Linked DNA regions of Saccharomyces cerevisiae S288C. The gene in region 1 interacts genetically with each later gene. Each region holds a gene or a part of one and is shown in the gene's direction. Other genes may lie near its edges.

Region 1 (4,103 bases):
TTAATGTGCTACTGAGGTTACGGCCTACAGCTGGCTATACTGGTCTAAAAGAATTCAACGTTTCTGTTTATGAATGTTTATCAAATGAGAACTGGAAGATCAGAGATATGGCCTCTAGAGTATTGCATATGCTGTCGGAAAATTTTGAAGAAGAGATAAGAAAATTACTTGACTTGGCTTCTATCGCGAAGCAAAACCAGTTACATGGACACTTACTAGCACTCCAACAACTAGTACCACAATACCTTTCAGGAACTAGAGATATGGAGTTGATTCAAAGGATACTTGAAAAGAAAAGGATGCTTCTACTAGAGAACAAGTGCTTTATCACTAAAAAGGCCTACTTAAAATTGACCTGCTGTATATTGGAAACATGCGACATACCTGATTCTATTTTAAAAGATTATATCAGCACTTTGCGGAACACATTTATTGCTGAAAATAACGAATATGTTGTGGATGGTAGCAAACAGCTATATCTTGCACAAATCTTAGACATGCTCTTAAAATATGAGGATAGTATATATCTCGATGATATTTGCTTATTAGGATTGTATTCTCCATTTTATGAGGCTCAGCTCAGTACACTACAGTACATGAATACTAACTTTCACTGGGAAACTACAAGAAACTCAGAATTTCTTGAACAACTACAATTATTACTCAGGGTTCCAGATTTGCTGCCTATGGCTAAAGCTTTAGTAGTGAAAATTCTCTCAAGAAAAAAGAATACTTTATCCCTGACGACCTGCACTGATCTCCTAAAAACAAATAATAGTGAAGATACAAAACTTGCTGCCGTTTCATCACTAAGTGCTAAATTGTCTTCGCAAACCTTTCACCAGGTATGGAACTTGTTACAAGGATTTTTCGCCGATTCTTGTTCAAAAGATTTTAGATTGGCATCTTTAGAATGTTTAACTGCTTATCCAGAAAGTTGTAAGAACTCCAGAATACTATTACAACTGTACAACTTCTTATGGGACGATGATTCTGAAATAAGAGAAAAGGCTTCTTTTTATTTGAATAAGAACTTTATTCAAACTGCAGACTGGGAATATAACAGGAACACCAGTGTGACCGCTCTTATATTCACAAAAAAGTTTGTTGACGTATTCACAAGTTCTGAGGTGGTAGAAGAGTTGTGTTTACAGTTGTTTCAATATCTAAATGAATATGATATGTTTGCTGCCGAAGAATCGGCGAAGAATTGTCTATTTACTATAGAAAAGGATAACCAGTTCATCAACGAACTACAAAAGGCAATGCATATATTAAATATGATAAAATTGACTGGAAGGGATATCTCAAAGTGTTACAAAGACCAGATACATCACCTAAAAAGTGCTCTATTGGAGCACTTCAACACCGAGGATTTTAAAGATTCCCCACTCGGCTGGTGCTCTAATGCTGAAATATTTTCAAGAATAACGCTTTTAAAGGAACTGATTCAACATTATTCTCCTTCTGATTATGAGAATTTTATCAATGTTCTGACTAAACATTCTGTTCATCCCCTAATTATCAGTTATTCCCAATTATAAATAATGAATATGTACAGATATATACTTTGCATATAATCTGATTCATCTCTAACCTACTTGTGGATTTAGTGACGAGATTCATTGTGGAACCTATTACAAAGCATGTCGATTTCTATTCTAAATACAATGATGGAACTTGATTTAATTTCTTTACCGTTGTCATTTTCTTTTGAATTTTTTCCACCTCTTTTTTTGTTGAAAAATGTTCATGGATGGAAAATTAAAGGTGTGCCCTATTACAAAAGCAAGTTGTACCCCTTTACTAACTCTCTAGTCAATTTGAACTATTGTGAAAACGACAGTTGTGCTCACATGATATAACAAAAGTAATACTGACAAATGGCATTCCAAGATCAAGATATATTCATAGTGTTCTCGCATGCCTCCTTATTTCTTAATCAAAATGATTTATTAAGCCTAAGTCTAACATCCAAAAAAATGCATGACATGATTGCAATCCCTCGTCTTTATAGCAATATTCACATAACTAAGAATCCTGTTTTAAGAACAAACAAATGGTTTTTGGACGGGGGAAAAACTTATGTAAGTGGTTATAGATCTGTTCTGAAAACCGGTGACAAGAATGACATATTTTTATATGATAGAATTGAAAGGTTGTTGGAGACATCGCATTTAAAATGTATAAAACAGCTGACTATTGACGAGGATTTGTTTCACAACAGGGAAGAAGGATTGCAACTGTTACAAAGATTGGTCAATGAAATCACTGACTTGGACGTGATTGAAAGTCTTGACATCAAGGATCCTACCTTGTTTGAGTTATGTTCAGCAAAGTATTATCGCCTGTCAAGTTTAAAGAAGAGAGTAGTATATGGCGAAACTGGATTTGATGGTATCAAATTATGGCAAAACTTCAAAAGCTTAAAATGGCAATTACCTGAATCGTTGGATTTGCAAAACGTAATAATCCCTGAAGTGGGTGTAATGTTAATGAAGCAACTTAATGGAGGAGAGTTAGAAATAAAGGACGAAGCGTACTCAAGCCTAAGGGTCTTTGAATACTTTGATTCCCTGAACCTCCGCTTCAAGAATCTGCGCCGTTTGAAGCTTAATCATGTTCACAAACAAGGTGATGGGAGTGCTACTTCTATGAGATTATCTTCACGCGCGTTTAAGGATGTAGTTAATTTATCCAATCTTAAAGCCCTTGAATTAGAATTTTCTTGTGAGGTGGACGACTGTGAATGTGATGATGACTTTCTTCAAGATATAACAGGAAACCTTGTTTCCTTAACAAGTCTGGGGTTCATTGAAAAGACATTCACCAAAAAAGGGTACCATTACATGGACGAGAAATGGGACTTGGTCGTTAATAAGTTTATTTTAAATTTACCAAACGTGAGTAAAGATTTGCGTTTGTTAAGCATACGACATGACCCACCTTTAAATGGCAAGGGCATTGATACTGTTGATGGGAACTTGCTTCGCCGTAAAAAACTTTATGAAAAGGTTTTACCAAAGCTAACTTCGTTGGAAACAATAATAGCTCCAACTGTATTGCAGTCCATCACCTCATATGAAATGTATGCGTGTGACCTTTTGTGGAACGGCTGCAAATGTGCGTTCTGCTCCAAATACTTACCATTATTTGATAAGTACATCATGAATCATCAATACTTTTCGACCCCGGATGCAAGATACTTGGATATTATACCGATAGTGTTTGCAGCATATACTGGAAAATCTCTAGCTAAGAGGTTTGATCCTCAGAAGAACTGGGATTTGGATTTACTACAGTATGCCCCTGAGGATACGACGTGGAATTTCCATGGCTTTGAGAGAATTCATCACTTTGCAAGTTATGAATGTTATTTTGACGAATCCTCATTTGAGCCCTTAGCCACTATTATATCGCATTTTTTTTATCCTTACATGAACTACTTGATAAAGATATTGCCAAACCTTCGCCAAACTATGTTGTCAGGAATATACTTTAGCGTGAGCCCAGAATTACACACTTATGAAACTATTTATGATTAAACTTGATAGTTGTGATAAACATTTCTTATGTACATTTGTTGAAGGAGTTCGTATATATACAGCCAGTTGAGTAATAATTATATTTTACTATTGCATTTCATAATTATTACCCGGACCTTACGAGTTCTTCGAATAATAACCATATATTTCAGAAAGGTAGGCATACCGAAGGAAGAGACAATGAAAAAACTGAAATGAACAAGCTTCTGTATACGATCCAAGGATCAGAAACGGTTGTTATTTATTGTTTGGACTTCTTGTTGTTAGGCTTTATTTACCGTGCATAATACTATCTGATACTTTGAGAAACCCCTCCCCCCACAGAAAGGTTCAAAATTTACAATTGCTGCACTAGGTCTACACTTTCCTCTAGATTTGTAACTTGAAGACCCCATTCCAATCGTTTAACCTGTCTTTCCTTTTATTATCGTTTTATTCTCTTCCTTTTTTATAAAATTCTATCTGGTATAGAGCATTTTTATGTTGATCATAACTTTTCATGTATTCTATTAATTACACCACAACTTTGATATCGTCAAATTTTTTATCACTACCTAT
Region 2 (4,310 bases), on another chromosome or scaffold:
TCCATCAACCACCAATGCAGTCACATGTTTATGAGAACAGTATCAAGCACCTTAATTCCGAGGCTGTAATAAATGGGACATTTTGGACAGAATGTCTCATTATCCCCGAACCGAAGCCTTTGAAATTGATCTGCAAATGAGGTAATTCAGCTGGATGGTTTTTCATAATATATTGAACATCTGGGAAGAATTTCACGTCACCTCTCGGTTTATCTCAGTAGTATTTAGAGTATTCTTCAAGTTCTGATGGGAATTTTCTCGCCATGCCTGAATTTCAGTTAATACGTGTTTAAGCTCCGAAATCCATGTATCAAAATTCACTGCAAAAAGGTTGTAATTTGATGGAGGAGATCAAGCTAGGTAACATATTCATTCGAGATGTCCACCTGCACCGAGTAGTCCTCTTTAAATCTTGGAAGAAAACACGTCAGCGATGCCAAGATGAGTGGGCTTCAAACCAAAACCAAAATTTCAACGTATAGGCCATTGTGCTCGATGATGAAGGGACTGCAAAAATATCGGTGGTTTAAGATAAGCAATTGTAAGATATAGAAGAAAAGCTGACGAAAAAAGAACTCATACCTTACTCCAAAATGGACACTGACATATTCTCCCATTCGGTGGATTTGAAATCCTCAGTGGATAGATAGGCAGAGTTGAGCCAATTTGCCTAGGGAGTTGATTACCGTTAATCCTGCTTGAAAGCAGCATATTAAACCTTCCCCGAAGTTTGCCATAGGACCGTATGACGCATCCTGGACTTCATCCCATCACTGTGCTGGGACTTGAAAATAAATGTTTCGCCCGTGGTAAAAAGTGTGTGGGAATAAGGTAGCCCTCTACTTCTTAGCATACTCAAAAAGAGATGCTAATAGTCAATCTACGGCCTGATTCAGGACTGCCTCACGGAAAATTACATCGCTTCGGGATTCGTGATCATCTGGCTAGAGTTTCTTGATATGTATCTCTGAGCGATATGGCTATTTACTAAGCAGTTGCCACCTTTGAGAGTAGTTGCCAACATGGACAGCAAATTTGCAGAAATAGGAAAGGACGCCACGGTACTCCCTAACCGACTACAAACTCATCTTTTCCGGAATGAAATGGTATTACCACCGAAGACGTCATTGCTGATCACATAAACAAGATTCAAGAGCGTGGTTACGTCTCAGAACCGACGATCCTCGTGAGGCTTGCTTGGCGCAGGGCTTCAATTCCATTATTTTGCGGAATCTTCTACGAAGCCCTTCCAGCATAGAGAAATGAGACAAAACCTCACAGGATTTACGAAGACCACTGCATGTAGGGCTGATATTGTGAAGGACACTTCCTAAAGGTTAGAACTAGTAGCATAAAACGAATAGATACAAGATTATCCTATTATAAATACGTGTTCGCACCGTAGTATCCATATAACGGCATTTTGCAACCATTCACATAAGATAGACTGTTCCGCTTCATCGCATAGTCGGCCACACTGCATATGTGTATTTTGAGCGCTAGGCGTCAGTGTACTACGCCCTACAATAAGTTGTAGTCACAGAAGCGCGCGCGCGGGCACATGAGTGCATGATGACAGGCTCCTTCACTGGCATAACAATAGCGCACAGATCCGCAGGTTTCGTAATACGCTTAACAATAGGCGTCTCCTGCTGGTTGCCTTATTAATTTATATGGAAGACGAGATAATTCATTAATTAGTCTACTCGACTAGATGAAATAGCTTTTTCTGGTAGTTGCACAGAAAGAAGGAAGACAATAGATAAAAGAATGTGGACGAATATTTTGCATTCGCTATCATAATAGAATTCATTTCTTCTCTTTTTTCTTCTCTTTTTTCTTTCCATTTTTTATATATGAGAGCTGTAATTTCAATGTTGCCAAGAGCGTGTACCATGTTATTTTCCACTGTAGAACTTGTATCATCATCTATTGCTCTCATATCTGATATACTATCAAGCAAAAAAAACTCTAGCATTACACCATTATGAGTTTCGGTACGAGAATCTCCAGGGCTTTGAGATTTTTGGAAATTCCTGTTAAAAATAGGGCCTCCGTGAATTTTTTAAGGAACCCTGATTTGCAACCTATCAAGTCTGTTAATCAAACGTGGGGGTTTTGGTCTAATTTTGCGTATTGGGGTGTTCTGTCCTTCAACGTTGGTATGTGGATAGGCGGTTCGTCTGCATTAACTGTTGGGTTAAGTTACTCAGAGACCATCGGTGCGTTTATTATTGCTGATTTGTTGACCATCCTGTTTGCTTTAGCCAACTCTTGTCCTGGCTATGACTGGAAGGTCGGCTTCACTCTAGCTCAAAGATTCGTCTTTGGGATTTACGGTTCAGCTCTTGGTATCATTATCAGAATATTGATGAGTATTGTCTATTATGGTTCCAACGCTTGGTTAGGTGGGCTTTGTGTAAACATGATATTAGATTCTTGGTCTCACCACTATTTGCATCTGCCCAATACTTTGTCCTCGAAAGTTGCCATGACCACCAAGGAATTGATCGGCTTCATTATCTTCCATATCCTTACCGCGTTCTGTTACTTTATGAAGCCATACCATATGAACTATATTTTAATTTGGTCGTGTGTTGGTACTTTCTTCGCCATGTTGGGTATGGTAATTTACTTAACTAAGAGCGCACATGGTGTTGGTGACTTGTTCACTTCTACTCATTCCACAGTTACTGGCTCTAAAAAGGCTTGGGCTTGGGTTTATACGATCTCGTACTGGTACGGTTCTGTTTCTCCAGGCTGTACCAATCAAAGTGACTTCTCCAGATTTGGTTCCTCTAATTGCGCTATCTGGACTGGTACTATAGTTGCTTTACTAATACCAGCAACCTTGATCCCAGTATTCGGTATCATTGGTGCTTCTGCTTGTGAAAAATTATACGGTCAAACATTTTGGATGCCTATGGACATCTTTGACAACTGGTTGACAACTAACTATTCTGCAGGCGCGCGTGCAGCTACATTCTTCTGTGGTTTTTGTTTTGTAATGTCTCAAATTTCATATACCATCTCCAACTGTGGGTTTGCCAGTGGTATGGATTTGGCTGGTTTATTACCGAAATATGTTGATATTAAGAGAGGTGCTATTTTTGCCGCATGCGTCTCCTGGGCCTGTTTGCCATGGAACTTTTACAACTCTTCTTCTACTTTCTTGACTGTTATGAGCTCTTTCGGTGTCGTAATGACACCTATTATCACTGTCATGATCTGTGATAATTTCCTCATCAGGAAGAGACAATACTCCGTTACCAATGCCTTTGTTCTAAAGGGTGAATACTATTTTACCAAGGGTGTCAACTGGAGAGCTATCGTTGCCTGGGTGTGTGGTATGGCTCCCGGTCTACCTGGTATCGCTTGGGAAGTCAATAATGACTATTTCCACAACACTGGTATTATAAATTTTTTCTATGGTGATTCTTTCTTCTCCTTTTTGATTTCCTTTTTCGTCTATTGGGGACTATGCCTCCTCTTCCCATTCAAAATTACTGTCAAACATGATGACAAAGATTACTACGGTGCGTTTACCGACGAAGAAGCAAGGAAGAAGGGCATGGTTCCATACAGTGAAATTTCTGAAGAAGAAATCCGTGCTTACACATTAGGCGAATGCTTCACAAGTGGACACGAATACAAACCTGAGAGCTCCGATGATGAACTACCTGAGTTGACAAAAACTAGTTCAGAAAACACAAAAGTGTTTGAAATTGTTCATCAGAAAGATAATGAAAAGGAATCCTCTACTTCCAGTGAAAAACAAATTGCCTAATGAGCAAAAAACCTAATAAAATGATCATACTTAGTGTTCATTCAAGATCTTTCGCTAGTATTAAAATTCGAGATAATTAAACACACTCTTTAGTCCCAGGAAACACTACTATTAAGCTTGTTGGTCGTACAGGATATAGAGGTCATTTCGATTATTTCATTCTTCCACTAATGTTTGATTGACGATTCAGATCACTGTTTTTGTTTGGCTGATAATTGTAACAAGAAAAAAAAACTACCGCTTCTTTTCAGTATTTCTGTTGAGGATGATATTTTCATTGATTCTCTTATCAGCTTCAGTGCCGATATCCTATCAGGCTCTAGTAGGGCTGAAAATTAGGTGGAGGCGATTTTGTTACTCTTTTGTTCAAGTCTGAGCTTATGACGTCCTGCGACATACTTTTCTTATTACGTACTTATGATAAGTACCGGTTGCCTATGAGAGGAAATCGAAAGTCATTAAATCAAAAAAAAAAAAATAACTTGCATTGCATTGTGCGATTAAAGAGCAAAACTTATTTGAT
Region 3 (4,594 bases), on another chromosome or scaffold:
GTTGGAGTTCTCAAGGCTTCATCAAGTTGATCGCCGAATTCAGTAGAACCTTGGAATCCCAATAATGATGGATCCACCTGTCTTAATGCTTTTTGAAAGGCTTCTTCATAGTTTCTACCAATAGCCATAACTTCTCCAACTGATTTCATAGAGGAACCAATGGATCTGTCCACGTATTGGAACTTAGAAAGATCCCACTTAGGTATTTTTGCCACAATATAATCCAAAGATGGCTCAAAGTTAGCCACTGTAGTTTTTGTGATTGGGTTTGGCAATTCTGGCAAAGTATAGCCTAGCCCAATTTTGGCGGCAGTGTATGCTAAGGGATAACCAGTGGCCTTAGACGCCAATGCAGAGGAACGAGATAAACGTGCGTTCACTTCAATAACTCTATAGTCTAGCCCATCAGGTTGCAAAGCGTATTGGACATTACATTCACCAATAACACCAAGGTGTCTAATGATTTTAATTGCGGCGGATCTTAACATATGAAACTCTTCATCTGATAGGGTCTGCGAAGGAGCAAAAACCATAGAATCACCAGTATGAACACCAAGTGGGTCGAAATTTTCCATATTACATACTGTAATACAGTTACCAACCCTATCTCTGACCACTTCATATTCAACTTCTTTCCAACCTTTCAAAGATTTTTCAACAAGAATTTGTGGGGCCAACGACAAGGACTGTGCGGCAAGTTCCTTCATTTCACTTGCATTGTTAGCGAAACCTGAGCCTAACCCACCCAAAGCGTATGCAGATCTGACAATAACTGGGTATTTGACCCTTTCAGCAGCCTCCAAAGCTTCATCCACGGTTTCACAAGCAAATGATTCTGCGATGGGAATGTTGATATCCTTTAACGCAGATGCGAAAAGATCCCTATCTTCAGAAGTGATCAAAGTTTTGATAGGAGTACCTAAAACTTTGACGTTGTATTTAGCCAAAACACCAGATTCATCCAGAGCCACCCCACAATTTAGACCTGTTTGACCACCGAAGGTTAAAAGTATAGCATCCGGCCTTTCAAGTTCAATGATATATGTGATGTATTCTGGTGTAACGGGCAAGTAATAAATCTTGTCCGCCAGGGAATGAGAAGTCTGGTTAGTAGCGATATTTGGGTTAACCAATATAGTAAACTTGTTATCTTCCTTCAGAGCTTTGATAGCTTGAGAACCACTGTAATCGAATTCACCAGCTTGACCAATAGAGAGCCCTCCTGATCCAATGACAAGTACAGAATTTACTCCTTCAACTAATTGAGGTTTGTAGTCCTCGGTAGTAAAAGCAGAATTCGTAGGCTCTGTTGATGTATAAATCGATGTCATTCTTTTCTTCCTGTCTATGTACTGTATTGCTCTTCCTTTATAGAACTAATTTTAACTATAGATGTTAGTTTTTCGATGCTTAAACTTAAATAGCGCTTCAAAAAAGAGATAAGGCATACTATAGAAGACGTATTAGTAATTATATATATACAAATAGCATGGCAGAAATGCTTATGACGGAAAAAAAAAGATTGGATTTTCTCGATGCTTACTCAAGGTGACACAATCGTTACGACATGGAGGTTCCTATCTCTGATATTCAAAAGTTATTGCCATCTCATCAATAAGAGTCATTCACAATAATCTATAGAATGCCGCAGGAAAGAAGACAGTGGTGGATGAGTCATTTTCTCAACCCTAGTTTACAATCTGAATGTTTAGGGGATTTACTATTTTTAATTAGGACATTTGAATATTTCTGATAGGGTAAAATCACTTTTTAGGGTTTCTGATTTTCTATTTTCCTCATTTTTCACAATAATAACAATGTTGCCATTCTTTTATCACTACCCTAAATGTACCAAATATTAGTAAGAAAAGAAACATTATAAAGAAAAGGAGGTTTTACAAGGGTCACTTGGTGAGATTAGGTCGTCGTTATTATTTTTATTTTGTGGGCGGGGTGTAATAGTGCTAAAAAGAGGGAAAAGAAATAGTATACCATTCCGCAAAGATGGAGTACATCAAGATTGCCAAAGTATCTAATGTAGTGCTGCATAGAAGAGGTACGGCCACACAAGGTACTTTACATTTGACTACTCACCATTTGATCTTTGAGTCACCACAATTGTCGACGGAATTTTGGTTTCCATATCCTTTGATCTATGGAGTGCATAAAAACCCGGGTAGTACATTACTGTCCAAGTTGACTTCCACTAATCAAATCCAATTGGAGGGAACGGATTCACAGAATTACAAGCTTTACCAGGGTAAGGATCTATGGTCTTTTGTAAATATCAAGGTAATTGGGAAAGATTATGCGGTATTCTCATTGGATTTCGGTGGTGATTTACATCTACAGGCAAGAAAGGTGTATGATTCCATCTTAAATTTGACGGTCCTGTCCAATATCACGCAACTATATGCATTTATTTACATATCCAACAATCTGGAAAGGAAACTACCTTCACCCGATAGCTGGGATATATATGACCCAATTAAGGAATTTCGAAGGCAGGGCCTCGACAGTAAAGATGAAACATGTCCTTGGAGGCTATCCACGGTAAACGAACACTATGAATTTTGTCCAACGTATCCCTCAAAACTTTTTGTACCAAGATCCACGTCAGATATATTATTGAAGCATGCTTCGAAGTTTAGATCACAGAAAAGAATTCCTGTTTTAACTTATCATCACAAGGCAACAGATTGCAACATTCTTAGGTCATCTCAACCATTACCGGGGTTGATCAATCAGAGGTCCATTCAAGATGAAAAATTAGTTTGGGAAAGCTTCAACTCATTTTGTAATAAAGATATTAGAAGAACGAAACATGTAATAGTAGATGCCAGACCCAGAACAAATGCATTAGCACAGATGGCGTTGGGTGGCGGGACAGAAAATATGGATAATTATAATTTTTTTTTAGCTGATAACAATATGGGTGTCGATAAAAGTCTAAAACTGCCCACAGTTACACGGTTATTTCTTGGTATAGATAACATTCATATTGTTTCCAACACAGCTGCATACATGACGGAAGTTATCTGCCAAGGTGGCGATTTGAATTTACCACTGGAACAGAATTTAATTAGGAGTCAAAAATTTTCCAATTGGTTGAAGTTGAACACTCTTATTTTAAAATCCGTTGATATGCTTTTAAAGTCCATCATTTTCAATCATTCCAACGTTTTGGTTCATTGTTCTGACGGTTGGGACAGAACCAGTCAAGTTGTATCACTATTAGAAATTTGTTTGGATCCTTTCTATAGAACTTTTGAAGGTTTTATGATCCTAGTGGAAAAAGATTGGTGCTCTTTTGGTCACCGGTTTTTGGAAAGAAGTGGTCATTTAAACTCTGATATTAGATTTCATGATAACACTATGCATTCCAACTTCAACGATGTGGATACCAATGGCGATGATCTTGACATAGGTGTTAACACTCAAGACGATTATGCTGAAGATGATGAAGGAGGTGAAGATGAGACGAATTTAATTAATTTGAGTAGAATTTCCAAAAAATTTAACGAAAACTTTAAATTGAACAAGAAAAGTCTAAAGTTCGTCTCCCCAGTTTTCCAACAATTTTTAGACTGTGTATACCAACTTTTGACGCAAAACCCAGATCTATTTGAATTCAACGAAAGATTTTTAAGAAGACTAGTTTACCACTTGTATTCATGCCAATATGGAACATTCCTTTCCAATAGCGAGAAGGAGAAATTTCAACAGAATTTGCCAAACAAGACTAAAAGTGTCTGGGACTACTTCAGATCTAGAAGAAAGCAGTTCATAAATCCAAATTTCATACAGAGAAAAAGAAGCGGCATGAATGAGCACGATCAAAACCTTGAAGAGGAAGAAAAAGTGGAGTGGATTTCGCCGGATCTGAAGAAAGTCCAATGGTGGTGGCAGTTATATGGAAGAAAAGATTCAGAAATGAATGATGAATTACGCCATAAACGAGACTCAGTACCCATATCGGTGGATAAAAAGAGTAAAGAGCATAGTAATTCCGATGGCGGTAAGGGTTTAAATTTGTCAATTTTTGGATTTGATATGTTTAATAGAAAGTGATCTGGTTAACGGCAAAGAAGACAAATAAGTGAGTTAGTATTTTGCATACAATGATAGAAGTATAGAAAAGTTCAAGCATTTCTCCGTTGTTAGTATACATATATATATATTAATTTTAATGAATAAGGGTACATATATTATGAGCATAACGAGTGGCCGATCGGCAAAGGGGCTTACAATTTTACAACACCAGATTTCCAACTAACACCACACCACTGAGATATTAGTATAGCCAATCCTCTCACTGCCTCCACAGTTTCCTTATCACAACCAATATTCAAGGCACCTTTCAAATGCCCACGCAATTGAGGATTAACATCTTGTGGAACCAAAGAAGCAATTATCACTAAACTTGTCTCTTGCGCAGATAGTATCTCATCAAAGGCAAACAAAGGGCCATATACATGGACCAGTGTATAATACCATAAGTCTGGGTACGAAGAGTTTAGATTGTTTACCACGCGGGTTGAGACTTTGTTGTATATTGAATTCCAATGCCGTAAGCCGTTCTGTATGGTATGAT

The links.
Region 2: mutations in ROY1 (region 1) and THI72 together harm fitness more than expected from each alone (negative genetic interaction), as found in Saccharomyces cerevisiae (2 studies listed by BioGRID).
Region 3: of ROY1 (region 1) and YMR1, extra expression of one rescues a mutant of the other (dosage rescue), as found in Saccharomyces cerevisiae (one study listed by BioGRID).

The regions. Positions count from the first base shown.
Region 1 is NC_001145.3:782,062-786,164, reverse strand, and holds ROY1 (Roy1p), read left to right. Parts: upstream 1-1,883; coding exon 1,884-3,545; downstream 3,546-4,103. Other genes in the region: tRNA methylation protein TRM732, read left to right, coding at 1-1,544. UniProt on the Saccharomyces cerevisiae protein: Non-SCF-type F-box protein involved in the endocytic with the vacuolar sorting pathway. Acts as a repressor of YPT52 by inhibiting the formation of active, GTP-bound, YPT52. Involved in the defense mechanism against methylmercury toxicity.
Region 2 is NC_001147.6:698,245-702,554, reverse strand, and holds THI72 (thiamine transporter), read left to right. Parts: upstream 1-1,987; coding exon 1,988-3,787; downstream 3,788-4,310. UniProt on the Saccharomyces cerevisiae protein: Low affinity thiamine transporter responsible for intake of thiamine. It is possible that the primary function is the uptake of closely related compounds and that thiamine transport is a secondary activity of these proteins.
Region 3 is NC_001142.9:631,611-636,204, forward strand, and holds YMR1 (phosphatidylinositol-3-phosphatase YMR1), read left to right. Parts: upstream 1-2,004; coding exon 2,005-4,071; downstream 4,072-4,594. Other genes in the region: carbamoyl-phosphate synthase (glutamine-hydrolyzing) CPA2, read right to left, coding at 1-1,331; PXP2 (Pxp2p), read right to left, coding at 4,245-4,594. UniProt on the Saccharomyces cerevisiae protein: Lipid phosphatase which dephosphorylates phosphatidylinositol 3-monophosphate (PI3P). Involved in the control of PI3P-dependent signaling and in the maintenance of endosomal system integrity.